Linked DNA regions of Caenorhabditis elegans. The protein of the gene in region 2 interacts with the protein of the main gene of each other region in a biochemical or structural test. Each region holds a gene or a part of one and is shown on either strand. Other genes may lie near its edges.

Region 1 (4,617 bases), on a different chromosome or scaffold from region 2:
AGTAATTTACATGGAGAAATTTGCTCGAAAAAATTCAAAAAAAATACAGTAAGAAAATTGTCGTAAAGTCTAGGGTTTTGGTATTGCGGACTACGACAAAATGCACACAAACCATTTTGGCACCGGAAAAAGGCAAAAGCCAGGATTTTATCGCGTTTTGGCTCATTTTTCTTGCAAATTTCCATGGAATTCAGTTAACATATACCTAATTATTCAGTTATTTCGAATTAATCAATAATTTTCAGTGAATTTCGCAATTTCTAAGTGGTCCAATGATGTCTGTCCACATATTTCCTTGAAAACTGATTGTTTTATCGGAATTTATTGATTTAAAATAATATATATAATAAAATCTGAATTTTAGAATCATTTTTGACGTGGAAAAGACCCGAAAAATCCAAAAATCACGAATAAACTGAACAATTAAGGTATTAATTTTTGATCCCCCACCCCCAGTTTCTCAGTTTCTCAGCAAAGGATTAAAACAATTGTTCTTCTTCTTTTCCCCCTACAAGAATTTCCTGTGAATTTCAATCGTAAAAATATCGATTTTCTGTTTATTCTTTGGATGAGTCACCGCACTCGCCGATTGTTTAACTAGTGCAGTTCGGCAGTTTTACGTTATTTTTTCACGATTTTTTGGATTCTGATCCTCTAGGTGACTTGAAAATACCGAATTTCATATCGTAATATGACAGAAAAATTTATGGCGGTAAAAAAATGCGGAAAAATTTTCTAATTTTAACGGAAAACTCCAAAAAGCCGTTGGAAAATGATTTTTATTTGATATTGGCATATTTAAATAATTTTTATCCTGTTTTTTAGTGGATTTGGATATTTTAACCCGATAGTTATGTATAACGGCTTAAAAATTGCCAAAATCAGCGAAAAAACGCGAGAAAAATCACTTAAATATGGAAAATAGAACAATAATCAAATAAACCCGATTATCCAAGCCAAAACTGAGTTTTTTTTTTCGCATTTTTGAACTTCAAAATTTCGAAAAAATGGGCTATTTTTAACGAAAATCCCCAATTTTGCAATTTTTTCGTGTCACAGCCGTCGGAAATTGATTTTTATTTGATTTTTGACACATTTGAGTGATTTTATCCTTTTTTTTTCGTGGATTTAGGTACTTTTAGCCGATAGTTACGTATTGCTAAAATACTGGCTTAATAAGTAGCTAAATCGACGAAAAAATATGTTTTAAAAAACCAAAAATGGCAAAATTTTACGATTTTTGCTAAATCTTTTTTTTTTTTGAAATTTTAAATCGTCATAAAATTATTTAGCTAAATTTTTGTTAAACATTTCAGCGAAAAACTCCATTTTTGCCAATTTTTTGTGTCACAGCGGTTGAAAATTGCGTTAATTTAGGTATATTTGAAGCCAAAAAAGGAACAAAATTAATTTATTTGCAAAATTATCAATTTCCGGCTTAAAAACGCTCCAAGATTGGAGATTTCAGCGGAAATTAGCCCATTTTTTCGAATTTCTAAACCGCTAGACTGAAATTCCGTCTTTTTCTCCCATTTAAAACAAAAAAAATCCCAAATTTTTTGCAGCAAGCATGTCGGCCCATCAACTACCGGCATGTGTGATCGACAATGGAACGGGTTATACGAAGCTCGGATATGCTGGGAACACGGAACCTCAGTTTATTATTCCATCTGGTTAGATTTATTGATTTTCAGCCTATTTTTCATAAAATCCAGTGAATTTTCCAGCAATTGCCGTGAAGGACAAGGTGGCGAGCTCGAATTCGCAGGCGATGCGCTGGAATAACCGAGTCGGAGCCGGGATAGACGATCTTGATTTCTTTATTGGAGATGAAGCTTTGTCGCCGGCCGCTACGAATTATACTGTCAAAGTTCGTAGTTAATAGACCATATTTATGCTCCTGATGTCAAATATCAATGTGAAATTTTTTTTTTTAATTCCCAGATTTTATATAATTTTTTAAAATCCAAAAATCCTAATTTTAAATTTAAACGACAAAATTTTGCATGATAACCGTGCCGCAGGTGTGGATTTACGAGATTAATATTTTTAATTCATTTTTATTTAATTTTCACACCGATTTTCCCGTTTTTTCGTTGTTATACATTGAAATTCTTGGGATTTTCATAAATTTATTCATAAATTTACTTTTTATTAATGAAAACAAATTAAATTACAAGAAATATCGAACTTTTGCTGAAAAAATCGAATATTTCACGTATTTTTGTTGTTTTCATTAATAAAAAGTCATAAATTAATGGAAATCATGATAATTTTAATGTAAAACAAGGAAAAATCGGGAAAATCGGTGTGAAAATTAAATAAAAATGAATGAAAAATATTAGTCTCGTAAATCCACACATGCGGCACGGTTATCATGCAAAATTTGTCGTTTCTGAATTTAACATTTTGGACTTTTGGATTAAAAAAAATATAATTTTTTATAAAATCGGGAATTTTATTTTTTGAATTTTTCACATTGATATTAGGTATCAGGAGCATATGGAAAAAATGTTTAAAATTAAAATTAAATTTTTTAGTATCCAATTCGGCATGGAATCGTCGAAGACTGGGATCTTATGGAACGATACTGGGAGCAGTGCATTTTCAAATACTTGAGAGCCGAGCCAGAGGATCATTTCTTCCTTTTGGTACGGGAGAGAAGCAGAAAATTCGGGAAAAAATGCTCTGGAACAATATTTTGGCCACTTTTAAAAGAAAAGGGGGTCGAAAATCCGTTTTTTTAATAGAAAATATCCTGTAAAATGGATGTAAATCGGTGAAAAGCTATATATTACAGAAAAAACACGTGAAAAGTGATAAATTTCGATGAAAAAAGCTTAAAAATCACGAAATTTTGCAATTTTTGACTCTAAAATTACGGTATCCGGTCTTGACAGGACAATTTTTTTGGAAATAAAGCATGTGATACCAATTTAAAAAATACGTAAAAATTTTGAAAAAAACGGGAGAAAAATCAAGGAATTTCCCCCGAAAACTCCGGTATTTTTAAGCTTTATTAATTAAAATTAATTAAATGAAAAATCTACATTTTTTCAAAAAAATAGCAAAAAAAATTTTTTTTCGTATTAAAATCCTAATTTTATAGGAAAAGCTGTTTTTTTGAAGATATGGCTTTAATTTTCTATTTAAAAAATCGTTTTTTTTTTCTGGAAATTTACAAAATTTTGTTTCTAATTTTTTTTAAAGTAAGGGTCCCGCCACGATCTACCTGAGCTTCAACTTTCAGGCTTAAAGTTGGTGTAGTCGAATTTTTTTTTTGCTTTATTAGAATCAAAATTGTCTAAAAACACCGAATTTCATAATGAAACTTCTTGAAAAAAAACAGTTATGACGGTTCAAAAAATCGGCTAAAATTAGTTAAAATTTGAAATTTGGCCTTTTGAAATTACCGTCAAATTTTAGATATATAAGTTTATTATCGTGCGTTTTCAACTCGATTTAGGTATTTTAAAGTCGGTGGACTTGGAGATTTGGTAATAAAAATTTAAAAATCTCCAAGTCCACCGGCTTTAAAATACCTAAATCGAGTTGAAAACGCACAATAATCAACTTATATATCTAAAATTTGACGGTAATTTCAAAAGGCCAAATTTCAAATTTTAACTGTTTTAGGCCATTTTTTTGGAGCCGCCATAACTTTTTTTTTGAGAAGTTTTCAATTCATTATGAAATTCGGTGTTTTCAGACAATTTTTGAGTCTAATAAAGCAATTTTTTTTTTAAAAATCGACTACACCACCTTTAAATAGCGAATATTAGGCAGTTTTCCACGAAAAAATTTGAAAATTTCCAGACGGAACCACCACTCAACACTCCGGAAAACCGAGAATATACTGCTGAAATTATGTTCGAGTCGTTCAACGTGCCAGGCTTGTACATAGCCGTTCAGGCCGTCCTAGCGTTGACTGCCAGCTGGAATTCCAGAGAAGCCAACGAGCGAAGCTTGACTGGATTGGTAGGAAATTTTTTCGCTTTTGAGAAAAAAAAATTTTTATTATTTTATTTGTCACTTATTAAATAGCCAAAAATGCAAATTAATACCAGCAAAAACATGAAAAATATAATGAAAAACGACAATTTACACATTCCCGACAATGATGGATACTTGTTCCCGTCTACTTCGGCTTCTCCTGCAACTGCAAAAAAATCGAATTGCTCCTCACCATCAAGCGCTCCGAATCCCAAAATATCCTCATCGAAACTCGAAACCTCGCGGAGCAACACAGGCAGCTCTTGCAGCCAGAAACTTCCAGTTTTCCGTGGATCTTGCTCCAAATGCGTCAGAAATAGATGCCAAATTTGGCGGAATCTCTCCTTTTCGGCTTGTCGGCGGTTCGCATTTTCTAGCTGCTCATGATCTTCGGCTTCAGCGTGGAAAGCGGTTCTGAGTGCTTCTTCGTCGATTTTCGGGATGTACGCAGAAATTGCCATGTCGAGTAGAGAGTGTGGGAGACTGAGAGGGACAGGGAGAGATGACGTGGATTCTGGTGTACCGACGACGATCGATAATGTTTTCGAGGTACCTGTGTACCATCTGCCGTCTCTGCTAGCAATTGCATAACACGCAAGAAAAACGCCAAAAATAATGTATAAC
Region 2 (6,693 bases):
TCACAGCTCTCGTCGTCATCATCGTGGAACTCTTGTAAAAGATAAATATCGAATGCATTCGAGTCATCACACTTAGAAATAATTTTCTCAACAAAAAAAAACATATTTAGAATTAAATTTGTTTCTTTTTTCCCCATTTCATCTCAGATTGTGTTGCACTTTTACGGGTTCTTGTCAACCAATTCCGATTCGTTTCCTCCCAACCAAAATGTCCTTCCAATGCGGTCACTTATAGATCAAGATGTTTATGAAACATGTTTCCTAATAATTTATTGTGTAATATTTTCTCTTCATATCCCGAGACTCCATCATTCTTCTTAGAATTTTTCCCGTTGTTTCCCGTAACCAGTAATAGCGATTTTCAAATTTACATTTTCTGTTCATAAATCACACAAAAATCTACAAAAAATCATCTCATAATCTCAATTTGTTCCCAAAAAGCACACAGAACCATTTTTTTTGCTATTTATTTTAGCCGTTATTCTTATTGTACACCTGTGAATAAACAAGCTCTACCCGGAAAGCTTCTACTTCTCATCGAATTGGAAACAAAAATTATTTATGTGGATACCCAGAAAAATGATAATATGCAAAAAAATTATGAGCGTTTCTGCTGTAAGTCTAAAAAGGGACAATGGTTTTGGATGAGAGGGGAGCATCACAGAAAAATCTACGGGAGAAAAACAAGAAGACTGGTTGAGTTTTAAAAGTTTGTTGGTATTTCGGGTGTGTGGAAGGGGGCTTACGAAGAGAAATTCACACGGAATAGGCACTGATTTGGAGAAAAAAAAAAACTAAATGCACAAGTTTTACAAATTCGTCACTTTCAAAATGTATGATAATTTATCTTGGAAATTGACGATTCTGTAATTTTTCAAATCAAGAATTGTACTTGAGGGACTAAAATTACCCTGTTTCACACGGGATTTGCACAGAAAAAGGAAACGAAAAATGGAAGGAAAACAAGTTTAATGAGATAATTTAGTCTAATCTGACCATTCATTTTTGTCATCTTCATCGTCATCATCATCACTAGTATCATCTATTCCCATATTCATTCGACGTTCCTCAAGAGCCTTTGCTAGTGCTCCAGCCAATCCTCCCATTCCAGCGGCTCCAGAAGTCGTACTCTTTCGACGTTCTTGCTCAGCAGCTGCATCCACCTAAAGTTTAAAAAAATTGGAATCAATAGTAATTTTCGGTTAAAAATTGTCTTACATGTTTTAATTGTGCTCCTTGTCGAATTTGGGCCATCACATCTCCACGAGCATCACCACCAGCCGATTTTGGTGAATCTGCAGTTTGTTGAACGGATCGAAGTTGTTTTCCAGCTTGGATTTCCTGAATACAAAATTCAATAGTGAACATTTTTAAAAGTATACTAACCGCTAGCAAATTCGATCTTCCATCCTGAGCAGGTGGTAGTTTTGCGAGCACCGATGCAGGTCCTCCGGCTCCTGAAGGTGGTGGTGGAGGTGGAGGGGGTGGAGCTCCTGCTCCTACTGCTGGCAATCCCATCGGTGGTGGAGGAGGTGGTGGTGGAGGAGCTGCGGATGATATCGGAGCCATTCCAAATGATTGTGGTGGTGGAGGGGGTGGAGGTGGTGGAACCGCATGTGGTCGATTCTCTGGGGTTCCATAGTTGGGCGCCTGAATATAAATTAATTTTTTTCAGAAAATCACTCTCCGGTTACTTACTTGAGGTAAAGGTCTTGATGGTGCAATTCCACGGGTACCAGATGACGGTGGTGGAGGAGGTGGACGAGCTGGAGCCAATCCATGAGATTCGACACGTGTTGGAGGTGGAGGAGCGGCAGGTGTGGAATATGATGAAGCACCGCTTCCAATCGGAGCAGATGATGGGAATGATGGTTTGTATTGACGCACTGGTGTTCTGAAAATTTTTTTTTCATTTAAAAATAAAACTTTTTTGTTATCGTATTTCTAATATGGCTGAAATACGCCCTCACCAAATGCAACACTAATTTCATTTCTAATATTTCTAGTATTTATATTAAATATTTCATAATATTTCTGGTTCTCAGCTACAAAAAACAGTAGTCGTAAAATATATTCAAGGGTTAACTGTAACAGAAACATATTACTTTTAACTTTTTTTGTAAGTTTGCGGAAAAAAAACTACATCGAAAGCATTTCGGGGGAGAATAATTGGGATTGCGTTGCCATTACTCTTTTTCATGGTCCGACATCTACCGGGTTTCGACTCACACAGCGCATATGCATGTATCTTCACAGGGGCGAAACCCAGTAGATGTCGGACCATAATTAAATTTATTTTTTCTGGTTTGGAGTTATTTTTTTCCGAAATGAAAACAAAAAAACTAACTGATTCCATGACTGATTCATCTGTGGATGTTGCTGAATTGGTGGTGGAAGAGGTGATGAGATTTGTGATGGATCCAAACTTCCAACAGATACATATTTATCATAGTTCTTGGCAATGAATTTTTTCACGAATTTCTTATCATCCTCATTCAGATTATTGCTTTCCAATCCAGCAGCCTTTAGAATATTTTTAGTAGCTTCATCCATATCATCGTCGTAAACTGTATTCGAGAATCCACTATCCTGATTCCATCCAACATGAGCTTTATGTCTGAAATATTTAGTTTAATTTAAACCATTAAAACGGAATAAATCTCACTGAAAGTTTGTTGGATTAGAAATATCCTCTTTCTTAATTTTCGATTTTTTATCCTTCTTTTTGTTTTTATCTTTCCGGAACCATGATCCACTACTGCTAGCATTTCCATCTGTAAATATTGAAAATATTTAATTAAAATTAATGTTATTTTTTGAAGAGATTTCTCACCAAATTTATGTAACAATCTTTTCAATTTATTAATCATTAAAATATGAGCAAATTTTGCAAAGTATGCATAAGAAATGAGATATAAAATGTGATTTTTTTTAAGTTTACGTAATTTTATTCAGAAATTCAATTACTGACTACGAGAACATCATTTTTCAATTTCCAAAAAAATATTCACCTGTATGTGTATGTGATTGTGGTGCAGCAGCCATAGTTCCCATTTGTGTTATCCCTTGACCTCCGCCAATTGCCATTGGAGGTCCTCGAATTGTTCCTCCATAAGCCTGTGTGATTTCGAATTGTCGTGTTGGAGTGGATCCGATTCCTGAAATAATAAATTATTAAATATAGAAGTTCTCACTGTCAAGTGCTCTGTTCTTTTTCATTTCAATTCGATCACCCAATCAGTTAAAAATCATCTTTCTCTATTCTCCAGCATTTCTGCTCAACAATGATGTTCATGTGCTCTGAGCGCTTGAAGCCGATCAAGTACTCGGTCGGCGGTGCTCATAACATGACATGAACACAAATAATCGGTCCGAATTTCTCGCCATCCTGGGTTGGATGTTTGCTTTCCAAATTTGTGTGAAAAACTCTTATAGAACCAGATTCTGTCTATCAAATTGATCAACTCAAAGAAAAAACGATAATATGGAAAGATAGTGATCAAGTAAACAAAAATATTATGATAAAGTGCAAATACACATCATGAGTTCAACTTGTTGACACTTCCTATACTTTTAGAAGTTTCGAAAAACTAAATTCGTTTTTAAATTTTCAAGCTTCACAAGCTGTGTAATTTTTGGGAGATTTTAAAAGGTTTTAGAAACTATTGTAGAAGAGTAAAAATGATGAGGTGAAGATTCAGACATCAGAATATTTAAAGTCTGTAAAACAAACCATTAAGCGAAATTGATGTCGAACTAGAACTTTTCTTCACTAATCGATGCCTTGCAGGTGGATGAGATGGAATTGGTGGTGGAGTATCTGCTTCTACAGATGATGGTGTTGCACTGCTACTCTCTGTACTACTATCACTTCCTCCAGAACAGTAGATAGGTTCTTCTTTCTTTGTGACCATAACAGATACTTGACCATTTGATCGATGAACTAATACGGAATCAGAATGAGGTGCAGGATCAGGATTCATCGATACTGATTCATAATCGTCGTCTTCGTCACCGAAGTCATCCGTATTGAATACGTGTCGAGAACTCACATAGTCACCACGAGATACTGGTTCTTCTGGGATATGAAATCGTACCTTATTTCGAGAAAGTGGGGGTGAATAGTCTGGATCAGGACTCGGAGCTCTATGTCGACGAGGTTCTTGATGATGATGTGATGATCGATGACGAGGTCGGAATGCTAGCTGCTGTTGTTGCTGCTGATGATGTTGCTGTTGTAGTTGCTTTTGTTGATTGTGATAGTAATAGAATGCATCAGCAGATATTGGAACATAACATCTTGCATAGTTCTGACGCCTTGCATATGTACCTGTGGATCCTCCATACCTTGTTGAATATACTGGATCTTGGTATTCTGCAGATGAGCTTGTTGAGCTTGACGTGGAATCAGGACCTCCATAAGTCGAATAATCATTTACATTGTCATATTGTTCCATTTCATAATATCCTCCATTTGGTAGAGTATGACTCCGATGGGTAGTACGAGGTGAGGATCCCATAGAATCAGGGAAGCTAGAGCATCCTCCACGTGCAAAACGTTGCATATGGTTATGGTGAAGATGACCGCCAGTACCGGAAGAGGAAGTGGAGGATGGAAAGGACGAATAAATTTGAGCCGCCGACGAAACGGTTGACGGTTTATTGGACGACGGATTGGTTGTCGCAGACGGTGGCGGAGGGTGGGAAGGAGGAGGAAACGATTGAGCGACCGGCAGGTTGTGGTACTGATAGCGGAGGCGGCCGGCCGGATCCTCGCTTACCACCATCCACATGTTATTATTCTTCGAATGGCTACTACTTCTGATACTTCTGAAAGAAGGCGAAAAAGATCGTCGCAAATTATGGAGATGAAAGCGAGAGAAAAAAGAGTATATGGGAAATGTCGAAAGGTGACGTTTATGGAATCGAAAGCTGTGAGAATCGGAATTTTCAGGTCATAAAATGAAGGAATGGAACAAATTCACTTGAGATATCCGAGTGATGTGTGAAACAATTGAAAGGAGAGATGTATATAAGGGTTCCAAATTATACCTCTAGTTGACTTCGAAAATGGGCATTCCAAAAAATGTTGCATATTTACGCAAGCATAATTTGTAACATCCTATTCTTCAAAAAATCTTGCTGAAGTCTGATGAAAAGTGAATTTGGAAAAAAAAACGTTTGCATTTCTAAATCTTTTAAATTGCCATGACTTTCTGATTGGCGTACAAGCACTTAGTGATTCGAACGGATATTCAGAGAATCATAGAAACAGAACGAAATGAAAACCGTCATAATACACATCATTATTGTATACCGTTTCGCCTCTTCACACCGTTCGGCTTCTCTCCCTCTAATTTTCTCTCTCGCCCAATCGTTTCGATTCGGAATCAAATTACACAACACACTACCACAGTTTGGCGGCAGTGAGATGTGCATATTGACAGAGGAAACAGATGTAAATATTAATTGAATTCCTAACAACTATCTATTTCTATTCAAAAAATGATATTTTTTACATATTCCAAAAATTTTCCATGTAAGAAATGAATAGTAAAAGTGACCGAAATGATGGGGCGAAAACTGTGGGGAGGTGAACTGAAGCACTTCTCTTCTCACGAGAGTTAGGCGGAGTCAACACCGATGAGTATGTGTATGTGTGTATGTGCTGCCCTGAACCTCTAACGGAGAGAGTCTCAATATAGTTAAACATTAAAAAACTGAGAAATAATAAGATAATGTTTCTATTAGTTTGTGACTTAGGTGTCAATGTGTGGCTACCAGAAATACTTTGTAAGAAGTATCGTAATTTTTTTCTTGAGTTTACAGTACTTTTATAGTAAACGAGACACCGTTCTTAAGGGTGATCCTTCAAATTTAAAACAGCGGTAAGACTGAAAAAACTAAGATTTTACTTTTTTGTTTGAAAGCGTGTACTTCAACACAAAAATTATTCAATCATCGTTTGACTACTGTCACACCCGCTAACAACAACACGTAGGAACAGCTACACCTCTAGACGTCAATAATGACATTCGGAAAACGGAAGGAACAGCCAGTTTCACTTATTATTAAATAATTTCTACACTTTTTTCACATCTGCTTGTGTTCTGTTAACAGATTTTAAAGATATACTATGTTTCAAAAATAACCTGCGCCAAATACAAAACTATATACGAAAACCTAATTATAACTTCCTCTCAAGTGTCGACTTCTCAAAAATTAATGCATGAACATAATACAACCGCATAGGATTGCTGCAGAAGAAGAGATGGAGACTTGAAGCACTATTGTAAAAAAGAGAAGAAAATAAAAAGTATGAAAACCTTATAATTGAACCAGTGCTCGTTCTTTGTTCAGATTGAACATTGTAGAGCACAAGGCACGGGTAAGATCACGTAGATCTCCATTGAATCCTGTACTCGTCTTGTCCTACTCCTTGCTCTTTCAAGTGGCCCGCTTTTCACATGCGTCGATTGAAAGTGGCTCATGCTTTAGAGGAACACAAAACTGAGATTCATGATAGGTCAGAACAAATTTCTATTTTTTCAAATAGAATTTTATAGATTGTAAGCAATATAACTTCGAATCAAGTGACACATAATGACATATCGTATTGTAAGTTAGGAATACAGTAGACTACAGTAAGACCATTCCGAGATATCAGGTACGTTTTAATAAGTTTCAATTTCA
Region 3 (5,121 bases), on a different chromosome or scaffold from region 2:
TCATTTTTTCACAACTGATCGAGAATCGAAATCCAAAAAACATAGGTTCACCGACGGTTCAATAAACAAAAAAGTTTAAACTATTCTGAGAGTAAAGCAGCTATAAAAAGTTCCAATTTGGCTTCAACACAGACGAGACCTCCCCGTTTGATAGGTTGGTCAGGCGATGAAAGGACACTAAAACGACACCATTTTAGAAGTGCCGGTCGCTTCTGACGATTTCATCGACCACTGATTTATGTGGACCTTTTGGAAAGAAAGAGAAACCAATTAAAATAAATGAATTGAAAAGATTTAAATGTGATTATATGAATCAGTTAATAAATGAGTTGGAAAGAAAAAATCCGAATGTCGCAAATAAAGGAGTATTTCGGATGAAAGTAGTTGAAATAGAGGAGGACACGGGCCTGAAGATAACAATTATCCGTTATCAGGTGGTAGAGTATCCGTGTATCAAATGCGGGTCATCAATGTCGTCGTTTGTCTCTTTTTCTAATGCCCTTTTGCTGGATGATTTCGGTTTCATTTAATGGAAAAATGGAAGAAGGAATAAGAGGTGACGCAATTCAATTTCAAACCAAAAGTAAGTTGAAGAAGTGAATGAATTCAAAGTGGAAAATGTATTTACAACAGAGAATGATGGATTCAGGTGGTTGTTGGTTTGAAAGATAAACGTTTGAATGAGAGTGGGGGAGAATAGGATGCCTATAAAGAATAAATTAGTTAACAGGTAGGGGATTTTAAGAGAATTCAGAGAAACGGGGATAAATGAACATAAAGCACTTTTAAACATGTTAACACGAAAATAAAGTCACAATATTTAAGCTTTGATTCCAAGTTTGGCCATACATCTTGCAATACCACCCTCTTCATATTCTTTCTTTGAAACCCAAAAATCTTGATCACGATCCTTCATCAGATTTGCAAGAACAGCTCCTCCAAGGAAAACCATGTGCTTACGGCTTGGTGGGGCTTCTATACGGATTTTGAATTTCTGAAAATAAATAAATTGGAACATTGCTGGTAATTTTTTCAAGGTCGTAGCCACGCCCACTAAAGAAGGATGTAAGTAAACACTGGGGTGATGGGGCGGAAAACTAAGATGTTGAGTGAGTGTTCTTTTAGGAGACCTCACACGAAGAAATCAAATGCATTTAGTTAACACATCATCAAATCGTCATTGACGACCAAAAGCGCCATTCTTAAAAGGAATGGTCAAATAACCAAAAGTAAAACTACTACAGGAACACAAATATCTGGGAATGCGTAGAGTGCAACATATTTGACGCGCAAAATATTTCATAGCGAAAACTACAGTAATCCTTTAACATTGTCTAGTTTAATGAGCTTGATTTTTAAAATGAATTTCTTTTTGATCTGTTTTCTTAACTTTAATAATGTTCTATCAATAAATAAATGATTCAACTCAGCTAATCGAGCTCTTGAATCTACACAAGAACTATAGTAGTCATACAAAGGATTACTGTAGTGTTCGCTACGAGATATTTTGCGCGTAAAATATATTTCGCGATACGCATTTTCAGAAATTTGTGCTTTCGTAATACTTCCCATTCAAAAATTGGCATTACATAAAAATTGTTTTTTTTTTTTCAAAAAAACTTTTTACTTTTTGATTGATAATTATTTGTGGAAAAAATTTCAATTCTACTACCAACTGTTTTGAAACTAATCTTTAATCGATTTTTTTTGATTAAAAAAAAGACAGCCATAGTGGGCGAAAATAAAAAATTTTCAGAAATTTTCGAGTTATAAAAATTTTCGAAAATTTAGAAATTCGGCGACAAAAAATTTCGGCAATTACCGGGTTCAAAACTATTAGAAAAAATAACTATAAAAATTAACAAAAAAAATCAATTTCTACTGTAGTAAATGTGTTTTTGATGAAGAAATATAACTCAAAACGACCTGAATATTTTCAATTTTCTATTCGGTAATTGGAATTTATTTTTGATAATTCGAAACTTTGACAACTGCTGAATTTTGAAAAACTCAGCGATCGGCATTTTGACAATTGCCTAGTCTCAACATTATTCCGGCAATATCCTTGTGGCCGAATTTTCGGAAATTCGTTACCTGGAACGCGTCAGTATTTCCATGCAATACGCGATCCAAATACAGCTGTTTCAGTTCCTTCTCAAGACGGCTGGGCAATCCTGGATACATAGTGGTTCCACCGGAAAGTACGATATGCTTGTAGAAATCAAGGCGAGTATCTATAAAAGGGATTTATAATGGAAATGCACAATTTCATTTTTGAAATACCTATATCACTGGCTTGAATACATCCGAAAAGAAGTTCCGAGAGACCAGCTTTTTCAACATTAATCAGATGTGGTTGGAATAGAATTTCTGGAGCTTCGAATCGTTCACCTCCGAGACGAATCACACGACCATCAGGAAGAGTGTATTGTTGAGAAAGAACTGTAGTCTCTAGTGCCAAACGTTCTTCTTGCTCAACATCATATGCAATGTAACAAAGCTTTTCCTTCATTTGGCGAACAGTTTCAAAGTCAGCAGAGTGATTGAAGTTGTATCCACGTTGCAGAAGAAGCTGAAAACAAATATATGTTAGTTTCTAATAAACCATATTTTGTCACTATAGCAATCAGGAAAATAATTGAATTAATATGTAACATTTAAAAACTTACCTTGATAAGATACTTGGTAATATCTCTTCCTGCAATATCCAATCGTCTTGTCAAATGATGAAGAGCAAATCCTTCGTAAACAGGACAGATGTGGGTAACACCATCTCCGGAGTCAACTACAACTCCTGTCAAAAGACCTTGAGCATAAAGAGTGAGCACAGCCTGAAAATATAATCATTATGATTTTATCATGAGGATTAACTATTACCTGAACCGCCACATAGATAGAATTGAATCCATACTGCTCAAACATAACTTGAAACATTTTCTCACGATTGCTGTTCGGATTGAGTGGTGGTTCTGTCAGCAGCAGTTTACACTCTTTCGGGTCGATATCCAACTTTTCCGGTCCAAAAGTATGATCCCATACATGCGCCATATCATCCCAGTTTCTAACAATTCCGTTGTCCATGGGATAATTGATATCAAGCATTTGACGAAGCTGAGAGCACTCCTCGCCAACCATCAAATCCTGTGAGAAAACAGTTATAAGACCTTTCTGTGTAAAGTTTTACCTTAATTTCAATATTTCCAACTCTTTGTGTCGATCTCACGATTGGCCGACCGACCATTGAAGGGAATATATGAGCTGGGAAATTGGTTCCTGCATACCCGCATTTGACGAACTGCAAATACAGAATTTTTGAAAATAAAATGGGATAAAATTTTGCAACTTACACCTGTTCCGTTGTCAACGACAATCACCTTTCGCCCTTGCGAATCCATTTCGCCTGAAAATTGTTAAATCGATTGTGCGGGTTTCGAATGAGTCATAAAGAGAAGAAAAGTAAATAAATAGCAAATTTGCTTGCCAATCGATGAAACCGGTAAAAATTTCGTTTTGACACTGTCTTAGTTGGCTTAAAATAGAACAAAGTACGAACATTTAAGCAATATTTTACATTACTTAGATTTTAATTTAATGAACGAGGGTTTCTGGAAAGTAAATCTGACTATATTTAGTGGAGATCGCCGTCAAAATACGCGGAAGTCGATGGAAAAATGTTTCTACAATTTCGCGAGAATTTTTATGTTCTTCATAGAATACGAAAACAATTATAAGATTAAAATATACAGAAAAGAAATAAGGAAATTCTATTGAAATAAAAACATGACAGTTCTGTCTATAGTGGAGACGCAGGGAATTGGTTGTCGATGGAGCAGATTTGCAGCAAGAGTATCGTAGTGTAAAAACAGATTTAAAAAATCTAAATCATGAACCTTTGTTTTTTTTATTATTTTATTAGTTTTATTTATAACATTTATTTTTATTTACATGTTTACCATATTTATGATTTTTTTTACTTGTGTGATTAGTTTTTGGTAGAAATTTCTGAATATTTATGTAAAAAAACATTTTCAACATCTGTAATAAATAAGTTGCGATATGGATTGTACCGAATTATTTCCACATGAAACATGGCTTTTTATAATAAAGGCTCTTCCTCACATCCAAAATTTTAATTTCTCAGTTAATTTTAAGAAAAATGGGAAGAGACAACATAACAACTAGGATAGGTCATGTGTATATGGTAGTGTTCCTATCGTGATTGGAAATGATCACAATATAACGTCATTCTTCTGTTAATTCAATTTTTCTCTGTTTAGTAAACTTATTGAACTCTAAATACAAACTTCGCAAAGAGAGTGTTTCAATGATCGAACGCTTCGTTCAAAGTCTATGAATTACCATTGAATAGTGTAAATTACAACAAACATCACATCTTAACTTTCAAAAATTGTTCAATGAAACTTCCATTGTTTGTTGAACTGTCCCCCTCCTCCTCTACCTATCTCTTATTTATATTTAATGTCCTCTATTCTTCATTTCTTGCCATTTTTATATTCTTTTATCTCATTTAAATGTATTTTCAGACTATGAGTGTTTTCACAAATGTTGTTGGTGGTGCATTCAAGTTTTCCGATGGATACGAAATGCCAAAAATTGGTCTTGGAATCTCTCGAATTGAAACTCAACAAGATTTAGATGTCTCTATTGAAGCCGCTCTGAAATCTGGATATCGTCAATTTGACACAGCCAATCTCTACAAAAACGAAACGTTTCTTGGTAATTCCCTGAAGGTAAATTTAAACTGATTTCTGAAAAACTATTCAAACCTCTAAAATTTTAGAAATATCTACCACAATTTGGCTTGACACGTGAAGATGTGTTCATCACTACTAAAGTTCGTACTCTCAATGAAAATACTGTGGAGGAAACTGAGAAACAACTAGCCAATTCCCTTGCAACTTTGCAAACCGAGTAGGAAAATATTTGTTGAGTTATCATCAGAATTATTTCTATTTTCAGTTATGTAGATCTTCTTTTAATTCACTATCCACGTGACCGTGATACTGGAAACGATGATGACTACGAAATTAACAAAAGTAGAAGGAAAATTGTTTGGCAGACACTTGAAAAGGCAAAAGGTATGTTGGTTTCATGGTCATT
Region 4 (3,199 bases), on a different chromosome or scaffold from region 2:
GAAATCAACACGGAATGTACAATCTTGACGAACAAATCCCATATATTGGCCATGGTTCAAATGAATACGAGCACCTGCGGACCATTTTGCACAATTTCGAGTAGATGGAAGTGCGATCTGAAATTTTTTTTTTGAGGACTATGAAATATTTAATTTACAACGAATTTGTTGTTATTAGAATAGGAACCTAGAAGATAAAATTTTAAAAAATGTGAGAACTGGAAAAAGTATTCAGAAGCATATAAACGTTGTCTTAATTTATAATATGACTTCTCTATGAATATAGCCAAAATGATCGATATTTTTAATCCAAAAATCAAACATTTTTGGTATACGAACCTCGCCTTCGACGGAGAATAATGTCGATGTTTGCTCAGTTCTGCTCACTTCTTCTGTTGCACTGCCGAGCACTATCAGGGAGAATAAAAGTAGAATAGACTTCATTTCTGAAATTGATTTGTCAATTTCCAACTTAATAATCATTTTAAAATATTAAAGCTCGTAAATGTTTCACGAGATATTTCAGATCATACATATTGCAAAAATTGAATAAATAATTCATAAAGTCAGTGTGCGGTAAAAAAAATCGATAATCAAAAAGGCAAAATAGGACCTAAAACAGGAAATTTTTGGGAGGGGAGTCATTTTCAGAAACAAAAAGTGAAAAAATTGAGAATAAAGATGATATTTACACAAATTGATCAAAAAACCGTGTTCACATAATAGTTTAAAGTCTTCGGAATTTGAGTGAAAATGAGAAAAATGAATTGGGAATCATGGGGAGAAAATTAATTGAAACGCTTCAAAAATTCTTCAGCAGAAACACGGGCACGGGCGTTGAGAGACAGCTTCATCTCGGAAATTTCCTGGAAATTTATGGAATTTTTTAAAAATTAACTTAAAATGTTCACCTTATCAATTTCCTGCATAAAATGAAGCAAAAAGTCGACAAGTTTGTGCTTGAACATTGCTTCTGTGTGAGATGCTGTGATGAGGAACGAGATGTCATAACCTAAAATTATCGCTTTAATCTCTGAATATTAGTATTAATTCTGACCTGGCAGTGGCTTGCGACGGAGCACAAAGAAGTTATCGGCTCTTTGGCACATGAATCGAGTGAACTTGTGGCACAGAATCTTCTCGATTTCGTCGGATTGTTTGATGGCGATTGATATTCTGACAGAATTGACGGAGGGTTCGATGAGTACTCGTTCCTGTTTGTTTCGAGCAACAACAACTGGCGTCATGAGCAGTTCTTTCGATGTTTGAACTTCCACCTACAATTTTATTATAATATACAAATAGAATAATACATTTAAATAGTTTTTGAGCGAAAAACTATTGCAATTGGCGGCGGACTGATTTAAATTATTCAATCTTCACACTTTGCAAGTCATTTTACTGTTATAAATCTTACTTCTGGTTTGTTGTGTCTCTCGACCACCTGCGAACTGAATTGCTCAAGACAGAGAGCTGCCTGGAGCGTGTGACGCACGGCCTCCAGATATGGTTGGAGTGTTGCGCTCATTACCTGCAATGCGCATGCTTATTGATTTTTTTATTGACGAAACAGTTTGAGACATTATTTAGAAGTGAAAAAAGATTGCATGGAACAAAATAAAACATGAAATACCGGCGAAAATCGTAAAATTGGAGTCGATAATCCGAAAATGAATCATTATTTGCGTCGTTTTGAAAGTAATGCAAACACGCTCCGCTGCACTTTTTGTTTCGAGTAGCGCGCGAAGACAAATTTATCATCCATTCTTTTAAAAATTGTCAATTTTAAAATTAATTTTCTGATTTTCAATCATTCCACTTTCCCATTTTGCAAAATATTTTGCGTTTTCAGTAAAATTTAAAAATTTAAACCTTTCAGAATGACTACTGCCATCCAATATCAAGTTATTCCTTTAGCTGACCGTGAGCACAGCAACAAAGTGGCGTCGATTCTGGAAAACAAGTACAAAACTGCGACAAATAAACGAATCACATTGAATGAGCGCTTCGGAGTTCTCGGTAAATGTTTTCAAGCATTTTTGAATCATAATAACATAGTTGTCTTCCAGAAAAGGGGTACACTATTCAAGCCACTGAGCCAGAGACTGTCAAAAACGATTCTGATGTCTTCTTTGTCGTTCACGACCGGAACTTGAATTCGAAAAAGGAATTTGTGGAGGTAATTATTTAGACTATTCGAACTTTTAATCAAAGCACTGATATTAACACAACTCTTAATGTTTTCCTTAAAAAATGAAACTTTGAGATTTTATGAGAACCTGGTTATGTTTCAGAACTATCTCGCAAAAAATCCAATTGTCAATTCACCGGAGAAAGTTTTCGAAGAGGAGGACAAGGAGAATGCACCGACCAAGAAAGCTGTTTTGAAGCCGTCCTCTACTGATGAGAAGAAGCTCACCAGCTCGGATATCTACATTCAAGAAATCACCAGAAGCATTCTTCAATCCGTTTAATTTTTCCATAAATTGCAAAATTCATTTTCCAAAATTTATGTATTTTTCTCACAATTTTTGAGCAGCCCTTTTCTTCTTTAAGTGTTATAATTTCCCTCGTTTTCCCACACCCATGAACTTCAGTGCAAATTTTCATAATCTTATCCTACGATTTTCTGTGGTATTCCTTCGATAAGTAAATCGTTCAAAGTAAGTGCTTGTTTGATTTTCGTTTGAGCACGCAATAATTTCAAGATTGGCATAAAAAATAACTGAAATGGGAGCAGAAGTAATGGGAGAACGCTATGCTTCAATGCGGGATTTATTGCGCATTTGGTATTGAAACGAAAAGAGTAACATTTAAGTTCAAAGGACAGAGCATATGTGTGTAGGGGTCTCGCCGCGAGAAAAACATATTAAAAATAATCTTCTGTTAACGTAAGAAGACATTTAAACCAAGTATCTTTAATAAATACGATTCCCGCGGCGAGACCCTTTTGTATAAGCGCGTCTCCCTTGAAACTTGTAGAATTTTGCCAAAAATGCACAATAAGTGAATTTTCCAGTGGAATAGTGTCGGAATACAAAAGTGTTGAAAATCCTGATATGTAAACTACTACTACCGGAGCCGAAGCCGCGAGGAAGTCTACCTGAAAGTGAGAAAGAATCTAAAGATCCTCAGTCAATCCCCGAATGAATAATAACCGATCAAAAGAGCATGTGCTACGATCTGAACATCAGATAAA

Evidence for each region.
Region 1: the proteins of wsp-1 (region 2) and arx-1 form a complex in vitro, tested with the Caenorhabditis elegans proteins (one study listed by BioGRID).
Region 3: the proteins of wsp-1 (region 2) and arx-2 form a complex in vitro, tested with the Caenorhabditis elegans proteins (one study listed by BioGRID).
Region 4: the proteins of wsp-1 (region 2) and arx-6 form a complex in vitro, tested with the Caenorhabditis elegans proteins (one study listed by BioGRID).

What each region holds. Positions count from the first base shown.
Region 1 is NC_003279.8:2,890,667-2,895,283, reverse strand, and holds the start of arx-1 (Actin-related protein 3), read left to right. Parts: upstream 1-1,565; 5' UTR 1,566-1,570; coding exon 1,571-1,673; intron 1,674-1,727; coding exon 1,728-1,870; intron 1,871-2,540; coding exon 2,541-2,651; intron 2,652-3,816; coding exon 3,817-3,978; intron 3,979-4,022; coding exon of another isoform or gene 4,023-4,617. Other genes in the region: Y71F9AL.6 (Protein PBN1), read right to left, coding at 4,023-4,617. UniProt on the Caenorhabditis elegans protein: Functions as ATP-binding component of the Arp2/3 complex which is involved in regulation of actin polymerization and together with an activating nucleation-promoting factor (NPF) mediates the formation of branched actin networks.
Region 2 is NC_003282.8:8,188,360-8,195,052, forward strand, and holds wsp-1 (CRIB domain-containing protein), read right to left. Parts: upstream 4,837-6,693; 5' UTR 4,794-4,836; coding exon 3,734-4,793; intron 3,159-3,733; coding exon 3,012-3,158; intron 2,775-3,011; coding exon 2,666-2,774; intron 2,618-2,665; coding exon 2,348-2,617; intron 1,895-2,347; coding exon 1,699-1,894; intron 1,651-1,698; coding exon 1,387-1,650; intron 1,342-1,386; coding exon 1,219-1,341; intron 1,164-1,218; coding exon 987-1,163; 3' UTR 545-986; downstream 1-544. Other genes in the region: pct-1 (Cyclin-dependent kinase 17), read left to right, coding at 1-76.
Region 3 is NC_003283.11:10,334,956-10,340,076, forward strand, and holds arx-2 (Actin-related protein 2), read right to left. Parts: upstream 3,401-5,121; 5' UTR 3,396-3,400; coding exon 3,348-3,395; intron 3,296-3,347; coding exon 3,185-3,295; intron 3,142-3,184; coding exon 2,878-3,141; intron 2,832-2,877; coding exon 2,670-2,831; intron 2,573-2,669; coding exon 2,284-2,572; intron 2,235-2,283; coding exon 2,095-2,234; intron 995-2,094; coding exon 821-994; 3' UTR 508-820; downstream 1-507. Other genes in the region: K07C5.2 (NADP-dependent oxidoreductase domain-containing protein), read left to right, coding at 4,548-4,751, 4,802-4,932, 4,981-5,099.
Region 4 is NC_003281.10:4,876,992-4,880,190, reverse strand, and holds arx-6 (putative actin-related protein 2/3 complex subunit 4), read right to left. Parts: upstream 1,534-3,199; 5' UTR 1,529-1,533; coding exon 1,418-1,528; intron 1,278-1,417; coding exon 1,058-1,277; intron 1,013-1,057; coding exon 912-1,012; intron 867-911; coding exon 789-866; 3' UTR 548-788; downstream 1-547. Other genes in the region: C35D10.1 (ER membrane protein complex subunit 7 homolog), read right to left, coding at 1-117, 340-444; Protein tost-1, read left to right, coding at 1,881-2,019, 2,070-2,179, 2,295-2,474. UniProt on the Caenorhabditis elegans protein: Functions as actin-binding component of the Arp2/3 complex which is involved in regulation of actin polymerization and together with an activating nucleation-promoting factor (NPF) mediates the formation of branched actin networks.